3 linked regions of the Astyanax mexicanus genome follow. The protein of the gene in region 1 purifies or fractionates together with the protein of each later gene. This does not show direct contact. Links are inferred from orthologs where the notes say so. Each region holds a gene or a part of one and is shown in the gene's direction. Other genes may lie near its edges. The genes, in order: mcm2, tonsl and mini-chromosome maintenance complex-binding protein.

Evidence for each region.
Region 2: the proteins of mcm2 (region 1) and tonsl purify together in Homo sapiens (affinity purification with mass spectrometry; 4 studies listed by BioGRID and IntAct, with this or other methods). This does not show direct contact. The link is inferred for Astyanax mexicanus from reciprocal best matches to the Homo sapiens genes MCM2 and TONSL.
Region 3: the proteins of mcm2 (region 1) and mini-chromosome maintenance complex-binding protein purify together in Homo sapiens (co-immunoprecipitation; 6 studies listed by BioGRID and IntAct, with this or other methods). This does not show direct contact. The link is inferred for Astyanax mexicanus from reciprocal best matches to the Homo sapiens genes MCM2 and MCMBP.

Annotation. Positions count from the first base shown.
Region 1 is NC_064431.1:667,036-677,789, forward strand, and holds the start of mcm2 (DNA replication licensing factor MCM2), read left to right. Parts: upstream 1-5,879; 5' UTR 5,880-6,019; coding exon 6,020-6,025; intron 6,026-6,918; exon of another isoform or gene 6,919-7,053; intron 7,054-7,994; coding exon 7,995-8,185; intron 8,186-8,761; coding exon 8,762-8,928; intron 8,929-9,633; coding exon 9,634-9,906; intron 9,907-10,613; coding exon 10,614-10,754. Other genes in the region: tma7 (translation machinery-associated protein 7), read right to left, coding at 105-120; ccdc51 (mitochondrial potassium channel), read left to right, coding at 2,654-2,977, 3,264-3,428, 3,553-4,341. UniProt on the Homo sapiens protein: Acts as a component of the MCM2-7 complex (MCM complex) which is the replicative helicase essential for 'once per cell cycle' DNA replication initiation and elongation in eukaryotic cells.
Region 2 is NC_064421.1:19,731,182-19,742,426, reverse strand, and holds the start of tonsl (tonsoku-like protein), read left to right. Parts: upstream 1-6,171; 5' UTR 6,172-6,447; coding exon 6,448-6,472; intron 6,473-7,824; coding exon 7,825-7,920; intron 7,921-8,012; coding exon 8,013-8,155; intron 8,156-8,240; coding exon 8,241-8,424; intron 8,425-9,983; coding exon 9,984-10,113; intron 10,114-10,936; coding exon 10,937-11,108; intron 11,109-11,190; coding exon 11,191-11,245. Other genes in the region: edrf1 (erythroid differentiation-related factor 1), read left to right, coding at 1-35, 207-407, 883-1,104, 1,225-1,451, 1,706-1,864, 2,596-2,745, 2,852-3,005, 3,129-3,247 and 2 more. UniProt on the Homo sapiens protein: Component of the MMS22L-TONSL complex, a complex that promotes homologous recombination-mediated repair of double-strand breaks (DSBs) at stalled or collapsed replication forks.
Region 3 is NC_064414.1:37,673,620-37,684,178, forward strand, and holds the start of mini-chromosome maintenance complex-binding protein, read left to right. Parts: upstream 1-6,409; 5' UTR 6,410-6,556; coding exon 6,557-6,614; intron 6,615-6,987; coding exon 6,988-7,073; intron 7,074-8,289; coding exon 8,290-8,430; intron 8,431-9,022; coding exon 9,023-9,064; intron 9,065-9,293; coding exon 9,294-9,386; intron 9,387-9,926; coding exon 9,927-10,056; intron 10,057-10,559. Other genes in the region: SEC23-interacting protein, read right to left, coding at 16-105, 238-431, 1,326-1,539, 1,631-2,136, 3,745-3,874. UniProt on the Homo sapiens protein: Associated component of the MCM complex that acts as a regulator of DNA replication.

The DNA of each region.
Region 1 (10,754 bases):
TTTATAGACATTTAAACGATTAATATTAATAAAAATAATATAATTAACGATTTTTTCCTCTCTTTACCCCCAAATACAGCGTTTAAAACCCCTCAGTCTCTTACCTTCTCTTCCAGACATGCTGCTGTAGTTCTGTAGGTTTAGCGTTAGCTGCTTAGCGAAGTGTGCTAACGTGAGGAGCGAGGCTGCTTCTGTCAGGACCCCAGAGGCTTTCAGAAGCGGGTAGATGTGCCCGGATACGTGCCTGACGCAAATGTTAGCTTAGCGTAACTGTCATTGATTCGAATACAGCTGCAGAAAAATATTAATACCACCTTAAAATGATAATTCTTTCCGATTTTATTTTTTATAGGTTTATGTTTGAGTAAAATGAGCATTGTTGTTTTATACTAATAATAAAACAAACAAAAATATTTTCATTTAGAGCCATTATTTACAGAAAAATTAAAATAGTCAAAATAAGGTGAGGAAAAAGATGCAGAGCAACATTGAATATTCATTTAGAAACAACACTATAATAATACTAATGTTTTTAGATTAGAGATTACCGGTAGATATTAATATTTGTTGGAATAATCTTTTTTTAAATTTTTATTCACAGTTTTAATTTAAAACATCTGGAATGTAATCAAGAGAAAGGTGGATGGTCTCAAGCCATTTAACAAAGCTGAACTGCTTCGAACTGCTAGGATTTTTTCGCCAAAAGCAGCATAAGGTCACACAAAAGCAGTGTGAAAGACTGGTGGAGGAGAGCATGTCAAAACACACGAACTAGTGATGTCAAACCTAAAATTTGAAAAAAAAAAAAAAGCCATATTGTAATATAAAAAAGCCAACATTTTGTCCCCAAATATATAATATGGCGGACGAAAAATGACATATGTATAAATAAATAAATGCACATATAAATAAATATCCAAATAAAGAAACAAATACTGTATAGACATGCTGCAGAAACAGCCCCAAATAAAGGTTCATGCATGAAAATAAATTCCTGATATAATTTTAAGTGTGTACCTTTTCATTTTACAAAATGTATTTATTAATTTATTTCTATTTCTATACAATTATTCAGTATTTATATAGATACGTATTTATTCAATCATTTATATGTGCATTTATTTATTCATACTTTCATTTTTTGTCCTCCATACCCAAATGTTTCTAAATTAAAAATGTAGAAATTTAAAGTTACTGCAATTGTGTTTACTGCAGCTGCAGTTTAAAGGGCTTATATGTATAGTTTAAAATATTACAATTATTATTATTATTGTTCTGTGTTGAGGAAAATTTAACATTTTTTGAGTATAAAACATTTATAAACTCTATAAACTAATTTTGCTTAATTTCTCCATATGAACCCATTCATTTTGGTCTTCCTGTCGAGCGCCCTCTAGTGTCTGACAAACCACCTGAAGACTTTCTGGGGCTTTCTGAAGCGGGCCGGGGAGCCTGGAAATGTGCCTGAAGAAAATGTTAGCTTAGCATGACTTTCATACAGATAACTAACTAACTGCTCAAAGCTAACTCACCTCTGTCTGTCTGATATTAGTTCATAACAGGCTGGTTTTGTATTTAAAATGCTCAGGGTTTCGCTCGAAGGCAGACAGGACTAACTAACAGAGACGGTATCTGGTAGGTAGGTTTGGTAACTAGTGTGTTAGATAACTAGATAACTGTGTTTTAATATATATAAATGAATTTGAAGCTAGCTAGCTAACCTAGCTAACTAATTAGCTAGCTGGCTAATAGTGAGCTGCCGGGTGAATTATTGACATCTGATATATGGCAACTTCAGTGCTTAAGTGTTTAAACTCTTATAGCTTTAAAATGTCATGTTATATAGGCAGATATTTAATATTTTATTCTATTTTTGCTATATATTATATAGGATAGCTTGTGTAAAGTGAAAGTGAATGGTGTTGAATGGTTATGTATATTAAAGTAGATTATATTGCAATTATATTATCATTATTTTCATGTGTGTTTATTCTTGCTGCTGACTGATTTCATTAAAAAACACTGAGAAATGAGATCAATTTACTATCTTATTCTAATTTAATTAACCCTTTTAGAACCTTCATCTAGTATAATAGACATCATGTATTATATATTTTTATTTTTAAATGTTTTGTTGTATATAACACTATTTGAGAGCTGCTGTCTATCAGAATAGATCACGAACCAGCAAATGAACAAGTTTATGAACCAATGAAACGGTAACATTGCCCCATACACTAGACTGGAAAAACAGTAGAATAGTACCTAGATCCATTTATGCAAAGTAACAGCTATTTTATACTAATTTAATGTGATTCAGAATACTTTTTAATTATGTTTTTTTCCAGTTTATGGAAGGTTTAGAAAATAAAAGTGTGAACATCAAATGTAAAATATTACACACATGCTTCCAATACAATAGAATTTATAATAGATTATTAGAGCCTTCTTTTCTGTGCATTACAGACAGAAAACAGCATTTTTACATTTTTTCATCACTGAAGATGTTGAAGAAGTTAAAAATGGTCCAATTGCCTTTACCATACTCACGGTTCTCTCACCTTAGAACATTTTACACTGTTTACATTGTTTACATTGTTTCCCACAGGTTGCCAGATTAAGGTGTGTTTCCTGCCCAAATGAAAGCAAGTCAATGAGGTACAGAGCAAGCTGTGTCCTACCAAGGAGCTATGGAACTTGCTTCTACCTTCTCAAAGTCCCTGGCAGAGTCCAGTGGAACATCTCCATCAACAGAACCTACTGTTCCCCGAAGCAGAACCCAGAGGACAAGGCTGATAAGGCCGTGTCGTCTCAGGACCGTGCCTCGGCCGCCCTGAAGAATGTGGCAAAGCTTGGGAAACAGTGGGGACAGAATTCTGTGAGGACCATGAGCACTACCGTCAATTACTGGTGGGCGAAGTACGAGGAGTTTGTGGGTCTCAATGAAGTTCGAGATGCTCAGAGCAAAGTTACAGAGGTGAGCAGCACCAGTCTTACACACTGCTTTTGGATAACTTTATGCCACTCCTGGTGCAAAAAGCCATATTGGTGATGGCTTATGATCATCCATCTTCCTCTTGATTGTATTCCAGAGGTTTTTAATTTGGTAAAATCAAGAACCAAGAAACTCATAATTTTTAGTGGTCTCTTATTTTTTTCCCAGCGCTTTATATTATAGCTTTCTAAATGCTGAAGAGCACTTCTTTAGACTTAATCATCTTTTTATGTTTGTGTAATCCTTGTATCTTTCATCCTGTCTAAAGGCAGAGAAGGCGTTCATGGTAGCCAGAGGAATGGTCCGTGAGGCTCACGTCAGTTTGGAGGCTCTTCAAGTTAGATTGAAGGAAGTCAGAGATCGCCTGGACCGTGTATCACGAGAGGAGGCACATTATCTAGAACTGGCAACACTGGAACACAAGCTACTGCAGGTTTGTTGTAATTTCCAGAAAATGTATTTTAGTTGCCAAATATTCTGTGCATCCTTACTAATAACATGATAAGAGGTTCTAATTTACTTAAACCATCCACTCACTAACTTCTTTGTCTCTGCAGGAAGAGCGTCGTCTGAAAACAACCTACGAGAATGCGGAGGAGTGCGAACGAGAGAAATTTGCGCTCTTCTCGGCTGGTGTGCGAGAGAGCCACGAGAAGGAGCGATCTCGGGCCGAGCGAACCAAGAACTGGTCCGTAATTGGTTCGGTGCTGGGTGCCATCATTGGGGTAATGGGGTCCACTTACGTAAACCGGGTACGCCTTCAAGAACTGAAAGGCCTGCTGCTAGAAGCTCAGAAGGGACCGGCGAGTCTACAGGAAGCTATCAAGATCCAAGCCAGTTTACACAAGAACCAGCAGGAGGAACTCCGTGGCCTCATAGATACGTTTAGGGCAGCTGTGAAAGGTGGAGGAGTCGAGGCACAAAAAGTCAAGCCAAGGTCCGTCTTAGTGCCAGCAGCAGTGCCCGTTTCAACCCCTCCGTCTACACACGGTGCCTCAGAAGAAGCCGTGAAGGAGATCCTCCTCCACAGCCAGAAAGCTCAGGCTCTCATGGAAGATCTCAAGCCCCAGCTGCATCAGCTGGAGCAGAGCGTGGGGAAGGTGGCGACAGAGCTTCACGCCGTGAGGAAATCTGTGTTGAATCGTCCTGTTGAGAAGCCAGTCATTCAGACTAAAGATACGCAGCTGCTGGTGTGTGATACAGAGAGCATCATCCAGGGACTGGACCAGACGGAGAAGAGACTGGAGGCTCAGATCAATAAGACTACTCTGTACACCACAGTTCTGACCTACACTGCTTTTGCTTTAACTATGCCAGTGCTGTACGTCATCTTTAAAGCTTCATAATAGGGTACAGGGTACTGGATACTAGTGTAGGTAGATCGTGTGCAGTTAAGGGGCCAATGACCGACAAGAATAACCTCAGATTTTATAGGAGACCATTGGAATTATATCATGGCTTAATGCACTGATGGATAAACACTGATTAAAATGTTCTAAATGATCTGCTGCTTGTTTAATAATATTGTTTAAATATGTTCTTAAGAAACACTTACCTGCTCTTTTAGTGCATCTTATGAAAGCAAGGGTATTATCCTCATTCTGTTAACCTCAGAAGTCAGATTTAGTTTGCTACCATTGATACCTATTGATTAAAAAAAGCATTATACACTATTTTGCATATCCAAACAGCATGGAAACACCATTACCACAGGTAGAAGTTGGTGCTGTACACAGTACTGTGTGTATGACTAATTTAACAAAACACTAAGGGATAGACATGATAATAAACTATATCATACTGCTGCTTCTACTACTACTGTTTATGTGGGGGCAGCCATATTGGAATTTAAAGTTGGCGATCTCAACTTTCTGAATAAGAAATACGACCTATATGAGCATTCCTGTTAGCTAAAAGCAGATTCTACTCTAATAAGAAGGTTGTATGATGAATATTGAATATTTCAGTGAGGATTTTATTGTATTTGCCTAAAAAAAACGTAAATAAAGATAGAAACTCACACTACAACTCATTCCAAATATATATTTGATGGAGTTTCATCACTCCAGAGCAGGGTTCTTTAATTCTGTTTCCCCTGCCTTGCAAATATATGGCTTTCCTTATCTGCAACACTCATTTTATTTGTAAGGCCCTCGAAATTCTACCAATGAAGTGTGGTGCTACTTTGATGGGTAACTGTATACCCCCATCGCTAGCATTGTAAGCTTGTTGGGAACATCAGCTAAAAGTACTTTATTTTTTTTTAATGCTGGGGGAGAATGGAGGAGGACTATTGGACAAAAGGGTGTACTGGTTATCATGTTTTACTGCAACACAAGTCCGTTTCACATTGGATTTCTCCTTTACGAGCGCGTGGGAAAAGGGAAAAGTTTATTTAAATCATTTTAAGATAAATGTTATAAAAATATTACCGAGCTATAAGGCCAGACTATGACCTAAAAATAAACACTTTAATTGTGTGTTTTATTTTATTAATTTATTTATTCCTCTGTACTGTCAGTACAAAACGACAATGTGCTTTTATTCTATAAAATATCCTACAGTGACCCCCAGCGGAATTACAGATCCGGGGGCGTGGACTTACATCTCCAACCAACGGCAAATTAGAGCAGCGGAAACTCGTCATGTGATCATATTCATGAGCTTTCCCGCGCTTTGTCATATGCGGCGCTGAATGTGTGCAGGAGTACAGCACAGGGAGGCGTGGCTCTTTAGCCGACGGACCAATTAGAACTCGCGGAGACTCTGTAGCTATACATATTCATAAGCTTTCCCGCGCTTTGTCAAATACTGCATTGAATCTGTGTAGAAGTACAGCACAGGGGGGCGTGGCGCTCTTGCGGACAGACCAATTAGAACTCGCGGAGAATCCTTAGCTATACATATTCATAAGCTTTCCCGCGCTTTGTGGTCACGTGGGAAGTTTCGCGCGAAAACTTCGGCTTGCAGGGGAAAGTAGCCGGAGAGTGAGCAGAACAGGCGTGTATACATCAAACCAGCACGATGGCGGTGAGTTAAAGATTGTTATTTATTATTTTAATAAAGTGTATTAAAGGAAATAGTCTGAAACGAGGCTGATACTGTTAAACTGATTATATGTAGACATGTATTATAATTGAAGAATGTCATAATACTGGTTATTTTGAGAGACAAATCTGATAGATTTGGTTGAAGTTGTTGTCTTTTATAGAAATGCAGTAACAAGTGCACATAATAGCATTTTACAAGGCCAAATGTTAAAAAATATATATGATTTGATCTATTGTAAATTATAAATATATAACTATATAGGTCACTAGTTCGTAAGTTAGATATAAACAAATGTGCGTAGTTAATGTAACTGAATGGAGGCATTTTGTAATAATCTGTCAGCCTGTGTTCAATAACATTGGTGACTGCTTACCATAAGATATACGTACACGTTATATATACGTATACGTTTTTTACGAATAGATTTTTAAAAATAATTATTGTATAATTATCAAAACATTAATTGTCTTCTGTTACTCCTGCTGTTAACCTGCTAACATGGGTCACAATATTTACCCGCTGTGGGATTAATAAAGGCATTGTTTTATCTTATCTTAACATTTAAAATATATCATCTTGTTTTAACGTTATCTATAACTAGATATTACTGTTATTATTGTTGTACAGCTGTTCTTTTTAAGGGAATGGTTAAAACGCTAGTTATTTATACGGATGCTGTAACTACATTTTAACTTTAACTTTTTAATTTTTAATTTTAACTTTGACATTTTTAAAATAAATAACTTGATTGTATTACTTAAAAATATCTAACTTTAGATATTTAGACGCCAGTAAGTTAAATGTGTTTAAGTGAGAGAAACTTAATATTTTGCTGTATTGTTCTGTCTGTCTGTCGTAAAGTTAGTACTCTAGTGAAGGACCACGTTGGGCAGAAGTTCAGTCTTTGTTGAAGCTCCTGCTGGTTAGCATTGTGGGCTAAATCGAGTGTTTATTACTTAATCAACCTTATTACGCAGCCCTGAAGCAAAATATGAGGCGAATCTGAGGTGAATAATTTTATTTAGGCGCCTTTCAAGTGTCTGTACAACAAAATATTAAGTTTTTCTCTCAGGCAGTGTGTTTGTATTTGCAGCTACAACAGGCTAGCCAGAGAGCTGCCTGTTTCCTCAGTTTAAGTTAGCTAGCTAAGCTAAAGTAGCTATAACGTTACTGGCGGGAAGGATTTAGTATTAAAATATACTAAAAGCTGATAATAGAGCAGTTTTAATACCTACATGTTGGTAACGATGGCTCACGTAATCCAATTCGTTATTGATAAAATTGTCCGTAGCTTCTGTATTGAATTCTTTCGTTCCACCTTAAATACAGCAGTGCTCTGGGGCACCGAGCCAGATTCTCTGTAGGTTAGCTAGCTAAGTCGTGTAACATTTTTAAGGTGGAACGGAAAAGTCTTAAAAAGTCACATTGCTTCTTGCTCATAAAACTACGTTCCAAAGTTATAAAAAAACTTTTTTTCTATCAATAAAGCACATGCATTATTAAGAATACTTATAACATATATATTTGTAACTTAAATATATGTTTATTATTTAAAAATGGAAAACAAAATAAATTGAAATGGTAATTTCAGCATAATTATAGCATATTGTGCTTTGTCTGTTGGAATTGTAAATATTTAGTATTCAAGAAATGTTATGTTTTAGTTTTATAACTGCATTTCTTTGAAAAGCAAGACCAAATAATGTTTAGTTTGTTTAATTTATGCTGTAGTGAAAAATGATTCACTGAAGTCCTGCGGAGCAATTTTCCAGTTTAATATCTTACTTCGCTAAATGTATATTTAAAATTAGGATTTACAGTGATGCTGGAATCATGTCTGGTGGGTAAATTGCTTATACAATTCTAGAACAGATGGTTCAAACTGGCGCTATTTACGACCTTGAATTGTAATTTTCTAACTTTTCTTTTCATTCTTTTTATACTCCAGGATTCATCCGAGTCTTTTCACATGGCGACCAGCCCCAGCCGTGGCTCTCGGAGGGGGGACCTGACCTCCAGCCCGGGGAGAGACCTGCCTCCTTTCGAGGACGAGTCCGAGGGTCTGCTGGGGGACAACATCCCTAATGAGGAGGAGGAGGAAGGAGATGGAGAAGAGCTCATTGGGAACGGGATGGAGATGTAATGAAATTCCTCTTGCTAAATGCACTTCATTCTTGGCCAATATGATTCCAGAAATTTACTTTCGTAAAGTTTTAAACATTTAAACATGTTGGCGAAGTGTATGCCCCAGTTATTTTATGTTTATTTGATGAATTATTAGTGGTTCTGGTATTATTTTAAGTATTATATTTTAGTATTATTTACATTAAGTATTATTGAAGTATTGTGTAAGTATATATTGTTTGTGTTGCTAAGTTAGGGCCTTAAGTGAAAGGAAGGTTTTAGAGAGATTTTAAAACTGAATCACAGTGACCTCAACGATATTACCACACGTGTGTAAAATATTATTTGTTTTCTGCAGTTAAAGCAGTAATTATAAAACAGACATTGAAAATATGCTAATATATTAATTCTGAAAGAATATTTCTGATATTCTCCAAGCCTCAGTCAAAGAGGATGTTTTGTTTTTAGTGAAACACCAGCTCAAAGTAGGTATAGAAAACTGGTTTTAGAATGTTTCAAGTTAGTTTCTGAATGTTAGCCCAGCAGCACCACATACTGTCACATGTTAATCTCATATTTTGCTCTTTTCAGGGACTACCGTGCCATCCCAGAGCTGGATCGGTATGAAGAGGAGGGTCTGGATGATGAAGAGGACCTGAGTGAGCTCTCTCCTGGAGCTCGTGCGGCTGCAGAGGAGGCCATGAGGCGCCGAGACCGAGATCAAGGCATGGGCCGCATGGGAAGAGGCCTGCTGTATGGTGCGTTCAGTTACTTCTAGTACATACACAGGTCTGGAAAATAAACAAGAGCACTTAAACTGAGTTTCTTTAATTTTACCAAATTGAAAATATCTTGAATATAATCAAGAGGAAGATGGATGATCACAAGCCATCAAACCACCAAACTGAACTGCTTGAATTTTTACACCAGGAGTAAAGCAGCATAAAGTTATCCAAAAGCAGTGTGTAAGACTGGTGGAGGAGAACAAGATGCCAAGATGCATTATTAAAAAATCTGTGACCAAAAACCAGGGTTATTCCACCAGATATTGATTTCTGAACTCTTAAAATTTTCTTTGCATTATTTGAGGTCTGAAAGCTCTGCATTATTTTTATTTCAGTCATTTTTCACTTTCTGCAAATAAATGCTCTAAATGAGAATATTTTTATTTGTAATTTGGGAGAAATGTTGTCTGTAGTTTATAGAATAAAACAACAATGTTCATTTTACTCAAACATAAACCTATAAATAGCAAAATCAGAGAAACTGATTCAGAAACTGAAGTGCTCTCTTCATTTTTTCCAGAGCTGTACATTTAAAACATGTTATACAAATTCTATTAATTACAATGTCTGATTATAACTGATAACTCTCAAGCTTTTTGTACAGTATGTATCTTTAACATGTGCAGTTCTGCTAGTATATCACGTCTGAATGTGTTCTCTGTGCTTTTGTTAACACAGACAGTGAAGATGAGGATGACGAGCGGCCGTCTAAGAGGCGCAGGCGTCTGGCTGAGCGAGCGGCTGAGGGCGCCGGGGCCGAAGGTGAGGACGAGGAGATGATCGAGAGCATTGAGAACCTGGAGGATATGAAGGGACACACGGTGAGAGAGTGGGTGTCCATGGCTGCTCCTCGTCTGGAGATCTACCACCGCTTCAAGAACTTCCTGCGCACACACGTGGACGAGCACGGGCACAACGTGTTTAAAGAGAGGATCAGCGATATGTGTAAAGGTAAGCTACTTGTGTAGAGGAGGTATTCTCATTTTCTATGTTCTGTTTTTCATAGCAAATCAGTGCACAAAGAAATTGTATCCCTTGTTTCTTATGGGCTTCCGTTTTGGAAGAAAACCAAACGTGTCTTGCATAAGACTAGTATTGTTTTAAAATTTCTGATACCAATACAAGACTTATTATATAATTATACTTATTATTTTTATTTTGTTAGGGATATAATCACTTAAATTATTTTAAACCATGATTTTATTTCTTTTTGGGAGGAGACACTAATAGTTTAGTCTAGTCTTAAGATTGGTAAGGCTAGAGCTTTTTTTTCTCACTTTTCTATAGTTTCAGAAGAGAGAGACAGAAGATACTCAGCCCTAGTCTTATGTACAGCATCAGTTCTAGCAGCATGTGTTTTTGGTGTAAAACATGATTTTACAAAGCAGTTAGGCTCACCGTGTGTTCCTCCTGCTGAAAGATCTTGTAATTTGTGATCCTCTGTCTCTGACGGTCACAGATGTAGTGTATAAATCACACCAGCTAAAAGATTACCAGTTACACGACAGCAAGTTCTGACCATTAAAAATCGAGTAGTGGCCTAAAAAATTAAGATGGTTAGAAAAGGAAAAGTTTGCAATTTGCTATTTGTTTGGTCTAAACTGTTGACTAGCTTTTTAAAATTGTTATTAATAACTGTGAAATTGTTCTTTTTGTAGAAAATAAGGAAAGTTTGCTGGTGAACTACGAGGAGCTGGCCTCCAGAGAGCACGTGCTGGCCTACTTCCTCCCTGAAGCTCCTGCTGAGATGTTGAAGATCTTTGATGAAGCGGCGAAGGAGGTGGTGTTGGCCATGTACC
Region 2 (11,245 bases), on another chromosome or scaffold:
CCTGCGGTACATCAAACTGGCCCTGCAGTGTCATGGTGAGAAGACCTCAGCAACAGAGAATAGACTGATGAATACCAGCATATAGTTGATTTTTGATTACTTTTAAAAAGCCATGTCAAAAACTAAAAATGCAGAAAAAAACGTTTTAACATCTTTTATTCTAATGTTGTTGTGTTTTCTCTTTCTTTTTTTCTTGCTTTGTGTAGATGCATATTGTGCTATATGCAGTGGACTGTACCCACGTGTCTTGTTGTTCCACAGTCAGTGTTTGTCTCTGTGTGGAGACATACAGCTAATGCTGGCGCAGAATGCCTCAAACAGAGCTGCCTATCTGGAAGAGTACAGCTATCAGACCAGAGACGACCAGGAGATCCTTCATTGTCTGCACCGGGAGAGCTCCTGCCAAGGTCTCTCAGCTATAACTCTAATGCATTCCATCTTTAACAATGTACACATTGTCTGCACATTGTATTATAGTATCTTAGGATGCACTGAATATTCAGAGACCTAAATTATGTAGTAAAAAAAACGTTTTTAATATGCCTGGTGGATATGAAAATGTTCATTGTTTAATAAATATTTAAAATTGTAGTTTTGTAAATTTGCTTAAAAGCAAGATAATTTTCAAGATTTTATTTATGCAATGGTTACAACAGGTCCAAAATGAATGAAAAACATGACCTTAAAATCCAAAAGCCAAATTGATTTATATTTTTCGATTTAAATTTCAGACAAACGTTTACAGTTCCTTGCATCATTTACTGGTGTCAGTCATGTTTTATGTATCAAATAAATTTCTATCATAATTCCTAAATAAGAGTGTTGTTTAGTCTTTTTGCTTTTATCCACTGTTGTAATGATCTGTGTGTATTATTTCTCCAGCATTCAACGTGGCCACTGATCTAGCCACTGACCCAGAGTACCAGCTGTTTGTCAGTAGTAAGTGTTATGAGGCTGCCCATGACCTTTTGACCTCTGAGGCTCTGAAGGACCTGGGCCAGGAGCAGCAGGCACAAGTTCTGAAGCGGCTTGGCAACATCCGCAATGAGATGGGTGTGTTCTACATGAACCAGGCTGCAGCTTTGCAGACAGAGAAAGAAGGGGGTGAGTGCTAGATTCTAGATTTCTAGATTTCAACCCAGGTAGCTTGTATTTACAGATCACACAGTGGTAGTATATTTAAAATTTTACTCTATTTTCTGTCCTTTCCTCTCTCTCTTGCAGTGCGGAGGTCGGTTTGTGCAGCAGAGCAAGAACTGTGGAAGAAAAGCTTTTCGTATTTTGAGAAGGGTATGCAGAACTTTGAGGCCATTTCTGACTCTGTGAATAAAGCTCTGCTGCTGTGTAACATCGGCAGACTGATGCGCATCTGTGCCCAGGCCCACTGCGCCATGACCTCTGAGGAGAGCAGAGGAGAGTTTTCTCCAGAAGAGGCTCTATATTACAACAAGGTACTCATGCACAAACTAACTATGCACCAGTTGTAAAACTGATTAGTTTTAAACTGAGCAGTGTAAAATGTATATAACATATTTGTCTTATCTTGTGTATAAATTGTTTGATTAGTCACAGTGCATTTACAGATCAATACAGTATATTTTTATGTAATCATAAAATATTATTATTATTATTATTACTATTTATTTTTTTATTTTTTTAAATCTCATTTAGCGTACTATAATCATATCCTTCTACCTGTGTTTAGGCTGTAGATTACTATCAGAGGGCCATGAAATGCCTGGGCAGCAGAGAGAGCCATGAAGCAGTATGGGACTCTGTTAACTGGGAGCTTTCCACCACGTATTTCACCCTGGCCACATTACTGCAGGACTATGCTCCACTATCCCGAAAAGCTCAAGAACAGGTAATGCACACGCTTGTGCACACGCTTGTGCACACACAGACTAAAGCACAATCCCATTTCTCTTTTGCTCCCCTACCCCTTGTTTTTGAGTGTGTAACTCGTCCCCTTGGAACAGAGTTACATGTGAAAGGGTTGAAATCCTCTCCAATAAGAATTGGGACAACCATTCATGCACCCTATACAGATATAAAACAGTGATGTGCTAAAGTTAAACAACCTAGTTGCTGGTTAATTAGTTAAATTTAGGGCATCCTATGTCTTTAGAAAGAGGGCCGATTGTGTAGCAATTATTGTTTCTGCTTTTATTAGCTATTATTTTATTGTAATTTTCCTCTTCATCTTTAATTATGCAGTCTCCTCCGACTGTTGAACCATTTAAGGTGGCTACTAAGCTACTTAGACTAACTAATAGCTGTTTTTTTATGCCTGTTATAAAGAAAATGGCCATAAAACATTGAATCTACACATTAAACTATGGTAATATAGTGGTTATCAAATTTATTGTACACATCGTGATATCGTAACAAAGAAAATACTCAAATTTGTGGGTTTCTTTGCTGCTATCTTGCTAGTGATTTTCTTAGGTAGGGCCAAGTGGGAAATGGTATTGGGCTTAGGCCACCTTACTGTAATCGGAATATACTATTACTAAACCATGAATGCTAGTTAAACTTATAACATTTAAATCAAGCTTTTCACAAAAGATTTTCCATTCTAACTTTTCACTTTAGATCGAAAGGGAAGTGACGGATGCCATGATGAAATCTCTGCGATACTGTGACCTCCAGACAGAGTCTGCTCGTCAGCCGCTCTACCAGTACAGAGCAGCTACCATTCACCACAGACTTGCCTCCATGTACCACAGCTGCTACCGTAACCAGGTAAACACATCCTCTTGTTCATTTCCATGTTTCCATTTCCATAGTCATATGCCCTTGCATATCAGTACAGACACTCACATTTACCTCGACTCTGTGCCTTCTGCAGGTGGGTGATGAGAGTTTACGGAAGCAGCATAGGTCTCTAGCAGAGCTCCATTACTCCAAAGCTGTCCGGTTGTTTCTCAGTCTGAGTGACGCACCATGTGAGCTTCTTCGCACGCTGCTTGAGAGAGTAGCCTTTGCTGAGTTTACCATGGCAGGTCAGTCTCACACAGTAGTCGGTAGTCTTTATTGCGCATGTGTGTGATGTATTTTTGCACATTCAAATGTCTGTCTTTTTGTGTTTAAACTTGTGTTAATGTTGCTATTTCTGTGTTTTTCAGGGCAGAGTAGTAGTGCTGTGAAATTAAAAACCCTAACAGGTGCTTTAGAGATCATGAATGAAACACGCCATGCCTTCAGGTTAATCCATAAGGAGCTACAGGAGCAAGAGCAGAAAGAGGTATACAGAGAGGCATGCCAAAAATGAGACCTTATTATCTTACTGTTTTGAAAGGTTAATGATTATTAATATGTTCGCAGGCAGTCGCAATAGAAGACACAGACAATCCTGATGAAGCCGGTGCGGGGTGTGATAGCTCTGCCTCCTCAGGCCTGAACACACAGGAGGTGCTGAAGCTGATTGGTGTCTTTGAGCCCAGTTTCTCCTTCCTGCTCCTGCAGCTGGTCAAACTCAGTGCCACAAGTAAACGGAAACCCAGGTGAAAATGAGATTTATGTACTCTGGTGTAAAATTGACTTTTGACCTGAACATTTGACCTTTGTTGAATAACCCACATCTGTTCTCCCTCATCTTTCTGAGATCCAGTAATTTTTTGCAGTGTCTCCAAACATGCTTTAGAATAAATGATATTGGGCATATTTTGCCCCTGCAGATAAATCACTTTTTACATCGTTTTACAAGCTCAAAGTAGCTCCACACCTTATTGATAGAATCCGGAGAGCCCTGACATTAAAATGAGGCATTAATAACTTTAAAAGTGCACAAGAAGCTTATTAAAAACCACTGTTCACAACCCGTAGCATGACCTAATCTCTGGGTGCCGCCATCACTGTACTGATCATGACTTTACTTTAAGATGGCCCGGAAATTAGGTTATGCTTTAAAATAAGGCATAATAAATTAATTGTTAATTAAGTGATTAGACAGGACATATTAATAGGGTTTGTCTGCAAACATTGGTGAAAGAATGTGTCGCTATTAGGATCTCTGGGAATTCCAGTCTGGCACTGTGATAGATTTCCTCACTGCTAAATATTCCACACTCAACTGTCAGTGCTAACGTAGTGGAAGTGACTGGGAATGAAAGTTGCTCGCTATGTCAACATAAAATGACTTTGTGGGGTCAGCAGATGCTGAGGCTCTAGTGTGTAGAGGTCACCAACTTACTGCAGAGTCAATCACTACAGACCTCAGGCTTCAGACTAGCTCAAGATCAGTAGAGTGTAGAGGAATGGGTTTCCATGGCCGAGCAGCTCCATCCCATCCTTACATCACCAAATGCAATTTAGGCAAGTGGATGCTTTCGGCAATATAGTGTAACTCTTTATACATGGTTGATCTGTTTGTGTATGTGTGTTAAACAGTGCTAAAGAAGAGGAGCAGGTGAAGGTGTACAAGCAGGTGTATTCTCGACTCTTGCGAGCGGAAAAGAACACCTCCCTGATCGAGCGGATTGCCCTCTATTTGGAACTTCTGGATCAGCTCACCCCACCAGCAGAAAGCGAAGAACCAGGACCATCAATGTGAATTGTACATTTGTGCAAATTTCCGAACTGACTGGTGCTACCCTCCCTGTAACTCATTCAGGCTGCGTGCTGAAAGAACGAGGAGCCTTATGGAATGGGCCTTATTCATTCAAACCTGAAAATGTGAATACATATCATAACAAGCAGTGCCTTGTCCTCTCACTCACAACATCTTCATCCAGACATTGTGACACATTACTTTTTTTTTTAACCATTAGCAACAGAAAATACATTTTGTTCAAAATATTCTATATTTAAAAAAATGTATAGTAAATATTTTCTAAAATTTTCAAATAAACCAACAAAACTACCTGTTTTTTGTTTTTGGTGGGGTGAGAGAAAGGGCACTTGACCGATTTAGTGGTGTACAACTAAGGTCACATTGGTTGATTTAGCTAAAAGCTCACAGTCTTTAAACATAAATAAACAATAAATATGTGCAATATTAAGGCAGTGTTCAGGGTTATGCTCTGTTTAAAGGAAGGATTCACTGAAAAGTCATTTTTATACAATTTGTGTTTGGGGGACTTTTGTTATTTTTGATCATGGAAAGAACTGAGTACATTTGATTATTCTGGTAAACAGTTCCTTTAGAGGCTTGTACAGCTTGCAGTGTTTTTGTATGAGTGTGTTTGCTGACTTGTTAAGATTATTAAAAAAAATGGACATTATTTTAAAAGTTCTGTGTCTTGGTTTATTTAATTTTACTTGTGTTGTTGTGAGCTAGTCCATAGCAGATATGACAAATGGCTTTGAGCATAGTAAAGACTTCCCAAGTCTCCCGGAAGTTGCAGGAGTCTACTGCATATCAATACCGGCTCCCTGATGCCCGCAAGTCAGAAAAAAATCTCCTTAAATCTACAACGAGTGGCCCAAGAGTGAACAAAAACACATACGCAGGCGACAGAGACTTTTTTTTCCCAAACGCAAGTGTGAAAGGAAGGCAAAGGGAGAGAAAGTCTCTTCCCTTGTGTGCATACTCATGAAGTGCATGCAAGACAAAGAGGATTCTACAAAGAGTCTGTGAGTCAGCCAATCAGTTTTTAGTGTGGGTGGGCAGTGTTTTTTTCCCCCTCCTGGATGGGATTCAGTGAAGAAGAAGCATCATGGCTCTACTACTCTAAAGTATATCCATGTCTTGTAAAATAATAATAAAAAAAAATGTAAAAAATCTTGCTTGCTGTACAGTTTGTTATAACTGTAATGGGGGACTAAATGATTGCAAAAGGCATGTTTAGGTATATATATGGGATGTCTGAGTATAAATCGAATACCCAATACAAATATAATTTGTCTGTGAATCTGTTGACTACTCCTCTTACCATTACTTCATATGATATGATATGACTTTTCTGTTTAAGACACTTTTCTTTTACATTTTTTTAAATATATTTCAATTAGATGTTACATTTTACTTATGCATTGGAAAACAGTAACAGTAATAACCATAGTAAAATTAATACATGCTTTTTCTTTAAAATCAGACTTCAATGTTTGTGTGAGTATTAGGAGCTGAAACGACCTTACCAATATGGCTTTACAATGTGGACCTCAGTAGGCGGAGCTTGATCTTTTACTGCCGGTCTGCTGCAGTAGCCAATCAGCGGGCAGCAGAGCTCTTGGCGCGGTATTGGGAACAGGAGATGTAGCTTGTGTAGTTAGTTAGCCAGCTAAGAGCGACGGTAACTTTTTGAGTATTGTTTTAGTTTTAGAGCGATGGATCGCTGTCAGAACTGACACTAGTACATGTCTGGAGATCGGTGGAGGATCGTGGTGTTTATTTAATATGCGAGATCCTGTTTCCGCTCTGTTTTGTCACTGATTTTTTTCAGTATTATTGACTTGCGATTCCTGCTAGCGAACTAGCAGATATCCGCTGCGTAACCAGGGACAATGAGTTCAGCGAAGGAGATCAGACGTGAGTAAAGTTTCATACTATTTAAACTAGGTAGATTATTGTCTTAATCAGATAAAAACTGCTAATTAGACTGTATATAACTAGTTATACTATAACTAGCTTTAAGCTATCCTGCCTGCTGTTGTCTAGCTCCTTAGTAAATAGCATTCATTTAACTTACTTATTCAGCTAGCCTGGCTAACTATTTAGCTAACCGTATAAAAATAATATTGTTATTATAGCCTAGCCCTATGACAGCTGTTTTATTGTATTCACTGTTTTCTAACACAGGCATATAACGTTAGCTGGGGTATCATTTATTTTTCGCAATCAGATAACTGTTACGTTATTTTGATCCATCTAATCCCAGACACGAAAATATTAAAATCACCTCTCATTATCAACCTTTTGAAATGAAGGTTACTACTTTAAAAAAGTCTTAAATAAACAGGTGGAAAAATGAGTTTTATGGTCGGTCTCAGTTGTTGTGACCCGTGGAATAATAGAGTTATTAAGTTAAATAGTTTACTAACCCCAGGCTAGTTATCACTATTTTCGAACAGAGCTCAAAAAAGAATTCTAAAAATGTATATTGTTTATAATGGTATAACGTTACTTGGTATATATGCAGAATAATTAATGTTACAGTAACTAACTCGGTTATATATATTTTCTGTTTATGCTTAATGTTTTACGTTTTTACGTCTGTGTTTTCATTGGCTGTAAGCCATAGTCATTAATAATAAAAGAAATAAACGCCTAAAATAGATCACTCTGTGTGTAAGACGTCTATATAATGAGTTTCATATTTTTGACTGAATTACTGAAATAAAGTAACTTTTCATTGATCAATTTTTTTGAGATGCACTAACATATATGCAGTAGTCATGTGACAGTGATGACATACTGTATGACAAATGACAAAACTAAAAAAAACAGATATATATGATTAAAGCACATACTTAAAGTATATCCTAAAACCTTTTCTTTTTTTTTTTCTTTTTTTTAACGCTGTAGGTATTTGTCTAAATTAGTGCTGGACAATATGGCCAAAATTTATTTCTTGATATATTCCTTAATTTCGGTCGAAATGATATAATTTCGTACTGTCAGAAAATGTAATTTGGTGGGAATGCACTGATTCATCATTAAGTAAAAATTTTAGAGCCATATAACTGACAATGTTTTAAATATGTTTTAATATTGTGACCGATGGCATTAAATAAATTAACTTTACTGGTGTTTTAGAGAGGTAAGTAATTGCTAGCTAGCTAACTACATTTCCAGTGTCTTCCTGTTGTTCTCGTCAGGTTGGACCACAACCTCCTCAACATTTTAGATTAAAATAAAATGTCCTTATTGTGTTTACACAGAACTGCAGAAAGCCAAAAGTAAAGCTCAGAGCAGCAGTAATCTGAAGGAGGAAGCTAGCCTCTGCAATCAGCTCGGAGAAGTCTTAGCCAAAAGTGGTAAGAAACCCAGGATAAAGTTTAGTTAAATGATTCCTCACAGTGTCAATTTCCCTGAGAATCTGCTGTTCACTCCTTTTGTGTGTTGTCAGGTGATTACCAGGCTGCTATTGAGGAGCATCGGCAGGAGCTGGCCCTGTCACAGGTTTTACATGATGTGATTGGTTGTGCTGTAGCCAATCGGAAGATTGGAGAATGTTACGCAGAGCTTGGCAATATCGCAACTGCTCTCAAAGTAAGAAAAGAGCAGTTAGTTGCTTTTCACATTAAAGAGACATTTAAGGTTTCCATGGTTTAGACACCTGTTTCTTTTTTTGCAGTATCAGAGACGGCATTTGGATCTGGCTTGCTCTGTAAATGATGCAGTAGAGGAACAGAGAGCTCTGGCCACCATTGGCCGGACTTACCTCTTTCTCCATGACACTGACCAATCACTGGACAGCCTGAAGCAAGCAGAGGATGCTTTCAAGAAGAGTCTGGCTATAGTGAACGAACATCTGGAAGGTGGTGTTCTTGTTTCCTAATGAACTCTAGTGGAAAATAAGTCAGCAGGTGACACGTACACAGTAGTGGGGAGTTGCGTCTGAGTACTAAAAAAGTTAGAATAAATTCCCAGGACATTTCTCAGCTGATGTTTTGAGCTGGTGTATTTACCTGTTAATGTTGATTTAAATACATTTAAGAAATGTAGACCTTGAAACTAGTCCTAAGTGGACCATGGTTATATGTATAAGAAAAATTAAAAAAAAGGAATGTAGGAGAATGGAAATGCAGTAAATTATCTGAATGAAAATGATAATTTTAATACTTTTATTTTTATATAGCTTGTATATATCTTGTTTATTATCCAAGATCAATGTATCTTTCTGATTCTAGTCCCTACAAACTAGCTACGGATACTTTCACTGTGGATATGGGCATCTGCTAAATACCCTTAATGTAAATGTAATAGCACTTTTCTAAAACCTAAAGACACTTAGGAAACATTGGATACATTTAAACGCACAGAATAGAAAAAAATGAACACAGAAGAAACATTTAAACACACAGAATACAGAAATAACATTTACAGAGGAGAATCAACCCATTACATTACATTACATTACATTACATTACATTTGGCAGACGCTTTTGTCCAAAGCGACTTACAATATTGAAGTGCAAATAATAGAAGAGGTTAAGTACAAAAATAATAGAAGTTAAAAATAAAGCATCTATAGATAGGGCCTTAAGGAGGTCAGAGGGAAATAATGGGATAGAGGAGTAGAGAAGAGGAAGAAGGAGATGAGGTTAGAATTAGTTAGTTTGTTAGAGGTGTTAGGAGATTAAGTGCTCTTTGAAGAGCTCTGTCTTCAGGAGTTTATTAAAGATAGCGAGAGATTCTCCTGATCTGGTAGTGGAAGGTAGTTTGTTCCACCATTGGGGAACTCTGTATGAGAACAGTCTGGATTGCTTTGTGTGAGTGTTTGGCAAAGCGAGGCGACGTTCATTGGAGGAGCGCAGCGGCCGGGAGGTAGCGTAAGCCTTCAGGAGCGAGTGCAGGTAGGAAGGAGCCTGTACTGTCATCACCTTGTAGGCGATTGTAAGAGCTTTGAATTTAGCCAGTGTAGCCAGTAGCCAGTGGAGCTCAATGAGCAGCGGAGTGACATGTGCCCGTTTTGGTTGGTTGAAGACCATATCACATACAAGATACAAAGTACAAAGAATATAGAAACATTCAACACGCAGACAGAACAGATGAGGAGAATCAACCCAACAGTATTATTGTGTGCGAGCATGGAGAAATTCTGATCACCACAGCTGCAGAGTTTAGATGTCAGTGCATTTAGAGGCCTAGCAGTAAAAGATCACAATTGTTTGCATAGTAAACCAGCATCATTAACATTTGTACTCTGAACATTCAGAAAATGTCATAACATATAGTGTAATATCAGTTCATTCTTTAAATACCTTTTGATATTGATAAGATTTAATTATAAAATTTGATATTACTGGCTATTACTGTGTTTTTTTGCAGTGTTTGGGGCTGATGCGTACATCTTGTATATGTATATGTGTCTCAGGGAGAGTCTCGGCTCGGGAACGGAGTGAGATGAGAGCACGGCTGCTGCTGAATCTGGGCTTTGTGTGCGATGGTTTGAAGGACCCACAGCGCTGCAATGAATTTATTCGTCAGAGCATCTACATCTCAGAGTGAGACTCTCCTCCTTGCAGCCTTTAATTGTCTGCAGCATGTGGTTCATGGCTTAACCCTTGTGTGGTGTTCGGGTCTGTGGGACACGTTTTCATTTTTCATCAAATGATACAAAAAAATATATTTTTTCTAACTCAAACTCATTGGCATTGGCTCATTTTTTGTGAAAAGCATATATCAAAACACATTTTCGATAAACACACACTGTACACCCCCCCTCCCCCCACACATTTATATTACATACAGTATGTTTGGCCAAGGGCTAATAAACATTGCTTCATTTGTAAATTTGAAACTAAACAAATTTTCTACTCATATCTTGAGTTTAATTCATTTTCTTTTACATTTCATTAAAAAACTTATTAAAAAAAGAGTAGCACTTTTTAAAAGAAATGTAACACAAGAAAGGTAAAGGGCAAATATTAACCATATAAGCTGTTTATATTGCTTGCAATTTATGTGAAGCAAGCATGTGTAAAGCATTTTAATGTAAAATTGCTTAATTTTGCTGAATTGAATACAAGTAACAAAGTAAACGGGTAACAAAAATATGAACACCACACAAGGGTTAAACAGAGGTAGTGAAGGTTCACTGGTTAGAAAGTTTGGTTATTATCCAGAAGTAACGTACCCACGGTAACTAGGTCTTGACCAGCATAAGGTATGATTTTTCTGGATAACCAGCTGGTCAAGAAGGATAATCCCAGAATTGTAGGTTCCATACTAATGTCCACACAGCTGCTACTCTTGGTTTTTTAGAAGGAAACATGTCCATGTGATTAATTAATCCGGCACCTAACACTGGTCCTCTCCTGTTCTTAGGAAGAACAATCTTCTAGAGGATCTGTACCGAGCCAACTTCAACCTAGGTAATATCCACTTCCGGAATGGTCAACATTCGCTTTCCATCCGATGCTTTGAGAAGAGCAAAGAGTGTGCACACAAGATGAGCGACAAATATAGCGAGAGCGAGTGCTTCTACAATATTGGAAAGGTATCGGTCATCTGTAGTTTTGGTATCAGCATCAACTAGCTTTGATCGTTTTAATAATGCTGTGCATTGAATATTCCCAAAGGTTCTGCTGAATCTGGGAGACTTCCTGGGAGCCCGGCGCTCCTTGAAGAAGGCCT
Region 3 (10,559 bases), on another chromosome or scaffold:
ATGTGTTGCTTATACCTTTGGATTGTGCATGACAATTGTTTCTCCTGAAGGAAATTCCAGTCTGCGATGCCACTGATTAGTAGATACAGCTTTCTTATATTCTGCCTGTAAACAGTACCAAGAATTGTCATGAAGTGACAAACTAAAATATGGAACATTTAATGTAAATTAAATTAAATATAAGGACAAGAAGTGAGTAAGAACCAAGACGGTAAACTCATGGAGATGTTGATATACCTCCAGTTTGTCACTGAACTCCTCAGAATAGGGGATAAAGCGACTGTCCGCATCTCCTTTGTAAAACCAGGTACAGCGCCGCACCTCAGTTGGCTCCTCCTCCCAGTACACAGAAGTTCGAGTGCGGTCATATAGCTGCACATCATAGCGCCCACCGTCAGTACAGATGATCACATTCTCTGGATCTGGCTGGACTAAATGCCACACATAATATATTAAAACTCACAGGCAATTCTTACATCAGTCTCTAAACTAAATATTATACTATCAACGTTTAATGTTACATCATGGTTCAGCCTTCGTAGTAGGGGTGGGCGATATGGCCCTAAAATAATATCACGATTTTTCATGGTATTTGAAAGGATGAAGGGTACTCTTGGTGATATGACAAAACACTGAACCAAAAAAAATATTTCAAGAATGCACTACTGCAACAAAATTAAAATGACATTTTATTATGGCATACAATATGATATGGTACACCCCTAACTGAGAAATAAAAATATATAAGAATCTAATCAGTTTTGTAACATAAATTAGTGATACAGAATGTCATGATACTAATAATGCACTTCACATATCTTCATATATCCAGGATTAAAGTAAAAAAAATAATACTGGGCAGATACAATCTAATTTAGGATGTAGATACGTATATAATGGGGAATTTAGAACTGTGTAAATTTTCCTTTTATTAAAACTGCAAAAAAAGTAGTACCCTGATGTGATAATTAGGGGTAGGTGATATGTCACAATATTTCAGGGTATAATATTGTTCACAATATTTAAAAATGTTGGTGATATTATTGCGTACGATATGATATGGCACACCCCTACTTCATAGTATTGTGGTGGTCAGTGCTGAGTATAGAGGGGGGCCTGGTCTCATAACTCTGCCCCCAGTGACACGACAGTATCTATGTATATGCAACTACACAACAAATGCTGTTATGTATACACAAAATAACATTTGTACTCTTAAACCAGTCATACATTTCTGCCACGTGTTTTCCCTCACAAAACATTTGTGAAAAATCTGCAACAAGTAAAGTAAATGATTTAAAATATTAAAATTCTTTCTTTCTTACTAGAATTGAATGTCTCCTCCAGTCGAAGGGAATCCAGAATGCTGAAGGGAAGCCACACCTTCTTGGCCTCCACTTGTTTGCAATAAAACCAGTGAGGCTGGACAGGCTCATAGACATTATAAGAGTATTGCATCATGGGGTTGGCTGGAACCACAGGTCCAGCCATGCTGGGTCCCGACATAGGTGGTGGTGGTGGAGTCTGCGTAAGGGGAGGCTAAAAAAAGGCACAACACACTTGATGTTCATGCATTTTTATATTTTGTAACATAATCAAAAGAACCCAGGAACGAACAAAAAGTGCGTACCTTAGCAAGCGTTGGAGGAGCTGTTTGGAACGTAGGAGTTGGCATGGCCTGTGTGTAGGGGTTGAAATGCTGAGGTGACTGATTGGGAGGTTGCTGCTGTAGCTCAGGAGCCATGAGATAAGGGCTTGCTTTGCTACTTGAGGCTGTGTGACGATACGGATTATAGCTTTGCTGGGTGGTCTGGGGAGGTGGAGGCATTGCCGTGTTGGGTGGAGGAGTGTGTCTGCCCATGGGACTCTGGTAAACTGCACTACCATATTGCTGAGTAGGATTAACATGGGAAATTGGAGGGTTTGTTGGCAGGCTCGCAGCACTGGAAACAGGGGAGGGACCAGTTGTTGAGACAACTGCAGGTGCAGGGGGCAGGCTTTGCTGGTGGCCTATTGAAGCAAATGGGTCACTACTGTTTGCAGAGCTAGAAAAATAGTTGAACGTTGAGGTCTGAGGAGCGGTAGATGAGGTCTGACCAAGGAAACTGTCTTCTTCTCCGACTTCACTTGCATCATCTTCAGGAAAGACAAGGAAGTAAGGAAAAAGCATTAGGGATACAAAAAACTTTAATGACCATATAAAAACTCGTAAAAAATTGTAACTGCAAAGCACTAGACACAAATCTGGAACAGAAATGCAAGTACAAGTACTCTTAAAAAAAAAAAAAAGTGAAAAAAAAGTGAAAACTGACATGTTTTTCAAGCTCCACACTTAAGTGGAAGTACTAAGTATTCAACATTTTTTTGTGCTTGCAACTACTGTATTGTATTTGCAATGATTTTGTAGTCTATTCTAGAATGTACTACTCAAGAACTGAAAGTAAAAGTACGGTACTGTGTTATGCAGAAAGCAGAAAGTAGTGGAAAGTTCTCATTGTGAAAAGCAGAACAGGATCAGTGTGGTCATCTTATAACATCAGCTTAATCACTTGATTCACTCAATGATGAGCAGCTTTATCAAACCCGATGACAGTGCAAAGCATTTAGTTTGCTCTGGCTTTAGTGATAATGTGGGTTTTGAATGATTTGTAACATTTTGTAGAATTGTAACAAGTAACAATGTAGCACATAAAAATAACAAGTATTAAACTTAAAATATGTAGTGAAGTAAAAGTGAAAGTAGAATAAAAAAAATACTCAAGTAAATACAGCATTTTAGTACTTAACTACAATAGTGAAGTAGTAGAGCTGGGACACAAAAGATTACATACCCTGCAGACACGTAACAGTATTAGACGTTATCCTGACGTAAAAAAAAAATCTGACGTCATGACCAACATTCAACATGAAATTAACGTCTACTAACGTTGATGGCCAGCTGGATATTCTCTCACCAAATATTACAAGTTTCCCTATTTAAATATTTGAATTTTAATTCCACATTCACACTGTTTGTATTATTTTAAAAGCTAGGAACAAGAGCTGTGCCCACATGAAGCAGGAGTGAACGAACGTCATGGCGGAAATAATCCTTGACTAATCATTTAATTATTCATTCATTAGTTTCAGCCCTAAAAACCATACATTTGATAAGTGATGATGACTGGCACAATGATAAATATAACATTATGTATAATTAGCTAAATGGACACAAGAGAACACAAAAGATAATTGGCTACTTCTTACTTGAAATGTAGAAACACACATTTAACTAAAAGCTCAAATAGTAGGAGCTGTGTCTGCAGATTATGAATAGAGGAAGTGTCCAGATTAATTGTTTTCTATTAGCTAATCTAGCTGGCCAACAGCAATCTCACTAACTAGTTGACCAAGCTATGTTAGATGAATTGACTGATCCATGTCTGAACACATAAACATTAGCTATGTTAGCTAACCTACGTTATTAACTATAATCCCTCAGAAAACAGACAAACTACCTTAGACACAAACACATTCAGTAACCATGTACAAAAGCTGTAAGACTGGCACAGTGACAGCTGCTGCCATGCTATAGAAGATCAGATAAACTAGGTTAGTTAACAAACTCGAATGTCAGATTAGCTCTGAGGCTAACAGTTAGCTCTCACCCTGACCTGAACACTGATAACTAGCTATGTTAGCATACCCCTCTCTCTCTCTCTCTCTCTCTCTCTCTCTCTCTCTGACCCCACTACAGTCTCTCACCTCCGGACAGCACAGCAGGGCCGCTCGCCTGGCTGACAGGAATAAACGGCAGGTTGAAGTTAAACTCCGGGGCTGTAGAAAACAGCAGGTTAGCGCTGGAATTGGGGACGTTGCTCTTCCTTTCAGCCATTTTCACTCACTGTTACACGTAGCTCCCACTGCCGGAGTCGCAGAGCAATAGATTTCAGTGTTTCCGTGATCGTCAAGCCGGAGTCTTAGGGGGTTTTACATATTCACTGACTCTCAGATCATCCGCCTTGTCACCGATTAATCAGCGACTGCCTTCCTTCAGTCAATCCCTACGACATATAGATCTATAGCCACTGCCTCCCCCACTCAGTCGATATGACGTTTTAGGCCAAAGTAATAAATAACCGATAAACCGATAGTTAAAGGGAAGCGAGTGTTCTGTGACTGTGTGCTTTAATAGTCACAATTAGACAGTAATTATTTACAATAATTATTGGTAACATTTATTTACTAGGGGTAATTATTATTATTGTTATTTTATTTAAATACTTTATGAACAAAAACAGTATAACATAATACTAAATCGAATTTAGACACATGGGTTAAAAATGACTCATTGAATCTACTAAGAAAATCCAGTTCTATACCAGCTGGCCATCCAAAGAAAACATACCCTAGGGTATGTTTGTTCTGGATGGCATCCAAAAAAAAAAAAAAAACCAAAATAAAGTGAATACTATATAAACTGAATTCTATAAAATTTAGTTTCAATAATTACTTTACACTAATAAGAATGTATGATGATCAAAAACAAATTAATTGATAAAACCATGCATTTCTGAATGATTAAATTAATTTTTTGCAAAAATATAGAACATTAAATCTCAGCTGGGTCACTATTGTTGACACATGTTGTGCATCAAAGGGTTAAAAGTGCATCTAAAATATACCTGTGTTATCTGTTGTTAAGAAGCCTATTCGTTTCGGAGGTCTAGACACTACAGTTGCCAGATTCACTTAAACTGTGCAGTGCAACGGGAAACTGGCTTATCAGATTATGAAACTGATCTGAAAGGTAAAATTTTATTTATATATATTTTGTATAGGTTAAAAGTGAAACGACGTCTGAGGCTTACTTTTTTAAGTTTTGCTAATAAAAAAAGAAATAATAAAATAATAAAATAATAATAATAATAATAATAATAATAATAATAATAATAATAATAATAATAATAATATGTACAATTATTCAGTGAATCAATGTCTATAAGAAAGTAACCCAATTTGACGAAATCCGGGAAAAAAAAGAGTACCTGGCAACTCTCACATACTCGCAGAGCCAGAACAGAGCCGGTTTATGAAGAGCCTGCCCACTTCCCCATATTTTCCTATTCATCTCATACAATGACTGCAAAACCCTGCAGGGGATTTATAGATCATTATTATAATATCCAATACAACCTGTAGGTGTGGTGACAGCATACACTTATACACTGCCTTAGGGACTAGCTGCTCAACAAGAAGAAAACCAGATTCAGTTCAGTTTACAGAGCATATTACAGCTGAACACAGGTGAAGTCTGCTTCAAATATTTCTGTATTTTCCTGAAATTTTTATTTTAAAAATTAAAATTAATTGTTTAATTATTTTTTAATAGTGTCTAACAACATGTCCATGACATTCCTTTAAGTATTTTGCTAAAAAGCAAACAAAAACCTACATTCACACTATCTGTCAAACATTTTAGAACAACTAAATTTCCTTTTTATATTTGCCATTTAAGGTCTTCAGGTCCAGTCAATAACCGGAAATGGTACCAAATCCAATGTGTTAAATGGTAAAATTGTGATTTTTAGCAAAAACAAACAAACAAAAAAAAACAACAATTGGTTAACAGCTTACAGCTGGTAAGTAGCAATGGAAATAAACTGAGCTTTATACAAAAATAAACAAACCTTTGTCTATAGTAAAGCAGTATTGGAACAGATTGTGTTACTGCACACTCTACTGCAGTATTTTTACAACACACAGTTCAGTACTGATACGGTTCAATGAAATAGGCTAGTGAGGATAAGGTGCAAAGATACAGCTCTGAAATAAAATAAGAGACCACTTAAGAATGATGTGATGCTTTGATGTTGAAAACATCTGGAATATAATCAAGAGGAAGATGGATGATCACAAGGCGTCAAAACAAGCTGAACTGCTGGAATTATGGCACCAGGATTGGCATAAAGTTATCCAAAAGCAGTTAGAAAACCTGGTGGAGGAGAACATGCCAAGATGCATGAAAACTGTGATTAAAAACCAGGGTTATTCCACCAAATATGGATTTCTGAAATTTGGAATTTGGGAGAAATGTTTTCTGTAGTTTATAGAATAAAACAACAATGTTAATTTTACTCAAACATCTACCTATAAATAGCAAAATCTCTTATTGTGGTCTCATGATTGTCTGGGCCATACACTACTGCTTTAGGACAACTAAAAATAGGTGTACGTTTGTAATTTGCTATATTTATAATTTTATAATAAACAAACATTTATCAATTATGATTTTGCCCAACTGCTCCATGTGAATCCATTCTTTGTTGGTCTCTCTCGGGAGCGCCCCCTGGTGGAGTAGAGATGTTTAAGTGGGTCTTCTCCTCTCTGGAGGTTCTCTAGTCACAGCTCGCGCTCACGGTCACATGAGGCTGTTCGTGACGCAATTTTCCCGCCACCAAGAAGTGTGTGTGTGGAGCGGAGGAAACGAGTTTGCAAAAAAAGAAAACGGCTTTTTTGAAGTAGTTTAACTTTAAGAACGAGGAGACTTACTGCAGTTTCTGGAAGAGCTTCAGCCATGCCTTCAGTTCAGGACTGGATAAACAGCCCGCTGGGCGCGGTGGACGCGCTGTTCGGTAAAGAGCTGCAGTTTAACAGCAGCAGGGCTCTGGCTCTGTCTCACTGCTGACTGCTGAAACGTGGGGTTAGCCTGGGCAGCATGCTAGCTAACATATGGATAGGTTGGCTCACCTAAGCTAGCTGAATAATTCTCTTTATTTAAATAGCTAGTCTGGTCACTTGAAGCACAGCAGCTCGTGTGTGTGAATTATTAAGTGTCTGTTATTTTCCATATATACCTCGTTGTTTAATTAAAGTTGTTAAATTCTGTTACAGACTGGCAGCATGGGGCTAATTTAGGTCAGCTAACAGAGGCGTTTAGATATGAAACAGGAGCTGCTGCTGTGATTATAAAGCTGTGTTTCTGTAACGTTATTCTGTGTTTTTCAGCTCAGAACAGTTCCAGGTCAGACTGGGAGAGGAAGATTGTGGAGTATTTCAAAGAGAAACTGAAAGTAAACGATGCACAGTCCTGGGTAACTTTTTAATCACGCACTTTGTTTATAAACACGGACTATGTGGAATAATAATAATAATAATCAATAATAATAATAGTAATAACAATACTACTACTGCTACTACTAATAACAATAATAATTAGCATAACAATCAGAATAATAATGACAATAATAGTAATAATATCATCATCATCATCATAACAAAATTCGAGTAATAGTAATAGTAATCAGAATAATATTAATAATAATGGGTATAGTGATAATACTGAAGAAATTACTGATAATGATGATAGTTATCATCGTCATTACCATTATTATTATCTGTATTATCAGTAATAATAATAATAAGAAGAAGGATAAAAATTAATAATCAGAGTAATTGTAGAAATAATCAGAATAATATTATTAATAAGTGATGGTGATAATATTGATGATGATGATGATGATGATGATATTATGGATGATAATAACAATAATAATAATAATTATTATTTTTTTTATTATTATTATAATAATGAGTAATAATGAGTATAATATAAAAAACAATAATAATGACATAGTATAATCTGAATAATATTAATAATAATAGTGATGATGAAGATATTACTGATAATCATGGTGATTATTATAATAATCAGAATATTATCAACAATAATATTGATGGAGATAATACTGAAGATATTACGGATAATTTTGATGGTATCATCGTCATTACCATTATTATTATTATTATCTGTATTATTATCAGTAATAATAATAAGAAGGATAAAAAATAATTATTATTAAAATAATGAGTATAATATAATAATAATAATAATAATAATAATAATAATGACACAGGATAATCTGATTAATATTAATAATAATAGTGATGATGATAAATTAATTATAGTGATGCAGATAATATTAAAAATATTGCTGATAATCATGATGATTATTATAATAATCAGAATAATGTCAACAATAATATTAGTGGGGATAATATTGAAGATATTACTAATGATGATGATAATTCATTTTTTTTACGTGTTTAATATTGATCTACAATGTATAAAATAAATAAACGAAAAACATTAAATACGAAGGTGTGTCCAAAATTTTGACTGCTACTGTAACTGTAATCTTGATTGAATTGCTGGTTTGTTATATAAATAACCTTGTTTTAAGTTATTTTTGTATGTAACACGTTTGTTTGGTTGTGACACTCCAACCAAACACTGTTTGTGATGTTTAGGTTCCCTCTCTGAATGACGTTCCCCTGCACTATCTGAAGCCCAACAGTCTGGTGAAGTTCCGCTGTATGATCCAGGACATGTTTGATCCAGAGTTTTTTATGGGGGTTTATGAGACAGTTGACCCTTCAACAAATTCAAAGGTGGGCAAAAATATTGTCAGTTTATCGTTTTTTTGGCCGAAACACCTTACTATTTAGCATTAGTAGATTTAGTGTAATTTCTTTCATCCATCCTTCTTTCAACACCCTGTTATTAGTTTATTTTTTATTTTCTTTTAGTGAGCACTTAAGTTCATTGAATTTTTTTTTGTCAATTTTGTTTGTTTGCGTACAAGGGCAGTCACTTTTTCCTCATAATTCTATAATTGTGCTTTATGTACCTTTTTTGTTATTTAATAAAGCAGCAGGTATGGATTTTGCCTGGTAAGACGGTGGTTATAATGGTCTAATGCATACACCTGAACAGGCAAATGGCTGCATTTGTAGCGTGTTGTCTGATGTGAGTGCAGCATAATTGTTATTGTGTTCATGTTGAAATACATTTAGAAATGACAAATTGAGCTGCAGTGAATCATGTTGCCATATTATTCAGTTAATAGTTTGTATGTTTAAATACATAATATTTATTTTATCTAATATAGATGATTAATAAATTATAGTTTAAAATTGAGCATATGGTCCTTGTTAATTTATGTTTATTAAATCTGGCTTTTTCTTTTTATTCATTTGTCAGGTGCTGAGATGTGGAAAATACAAAGATGTTACTGATTGTGGCGTGAGTATCTATCTTTCTCTCAATATTTATGAATGGATTGTTGCATGGTCACTTAGTCTACTGTTAAAGTGATTGTTTCTGTGTAGTATATGCTTCAAATAGTATTTAATTTAGCAGTTATACCTAGTAATATTTCTGCAAACATTTAACACCTATTCTCATGCAGAAAGTCAGTCACTCTCTTTAACCTTAATCAATGGTTCTAAGGGGAACATGTTTATCTTTACAGCAGATTGATTTCAACTCCAAAAACGCTGTTACTTCAGAGAGACAAACCTTTTACTGCGTTCCTATCCCAGGAGAATCTCAGTGGGTGAAGGAAATATCCTTTCGGAAGAAAGCTCTTCATCTGTGGATCAAGCTGCCCTAACATAATGGTGTAAATTGAATGATCATTGCATAAAACATAAATTAAGGTCTTTATGACCTTGTGAAATGTGATCTGGTGTATGCCAGTCATGCAGATGGAATTGTTTAGACGGTAATTGTCCTTTAAATATTATTGCAATTATAGAGTATACATCATTGTGTACATCTTTGCTCTTACTGCTAGCATACATCCTAAACCTGCTATTTTGTTTGTTTGCTTCCTAACCTATAAATGCATATCATGCTCTAGCAAGTTTAAAGTTTTAGAGGTTTTCTTCTTCCTTATAAGATCTGTGATTTCTCTCAAATAAGGCCTCATTTAAGTGTATTTGCCTAATTTTGACATTTTTTAAATGTATTGATATATATTTTTTTAATCTGACAACTTGATCAGCATAAATTAGCCCTGGTTCTGTCAAATCAAGTTACCGGTATGTAATAATTGTGACTGGCATAATCTCATGTATGAAAGTTTGGCTTAACCGTTGAGTACAGTTTTGCTGGATCTAGCCAAGCTCGAGTGGTGCCCTCCACATCCTACACCCCGAACAGGCACAAGCGCAGTTACGAGGAAGATGATGACATGGACACACAACCACAACAAGACAAAGAGTTAAACTCAGGTAATATTAAGATTGTGTTTTATATTTGAGGATAATTGCCAATTAAAAAAAAAAAAACGATACTTTTGCTTTTAAATTAAAGAAATGTTGACGGCACTGCAAAAGAATATATAATGTTCTGCTTTTACGAAAGTCAATGTCAAAGTTCTTTTATTTGTCTCCCAAAAGAGAATTTTTTTCTTGGACAGAGGGCTTGTGGCACAACACAAAAACAACACATGGCCAACATATCATTACTTCCCAGTGCATTACATTTTCATACTTTTACACAGACCCACAACATTGTGGATATTTAACATCTTTACTCTCAAAGGTACAAAGGAATGTTTGTAGCTTTTATACCTACACAAAGGGATGCTGTTTCTTCTACCTCAGTTCATGAGCTGGTACACATGGATACAGCACGTGTGTAGTGTGAGATACAATGATCAAAGCTTACATATTCCCCACTTTCACAACTCTTGCAGGCTAAGAGGGGCAGGGGTGCCAATAATTTTTCCTGC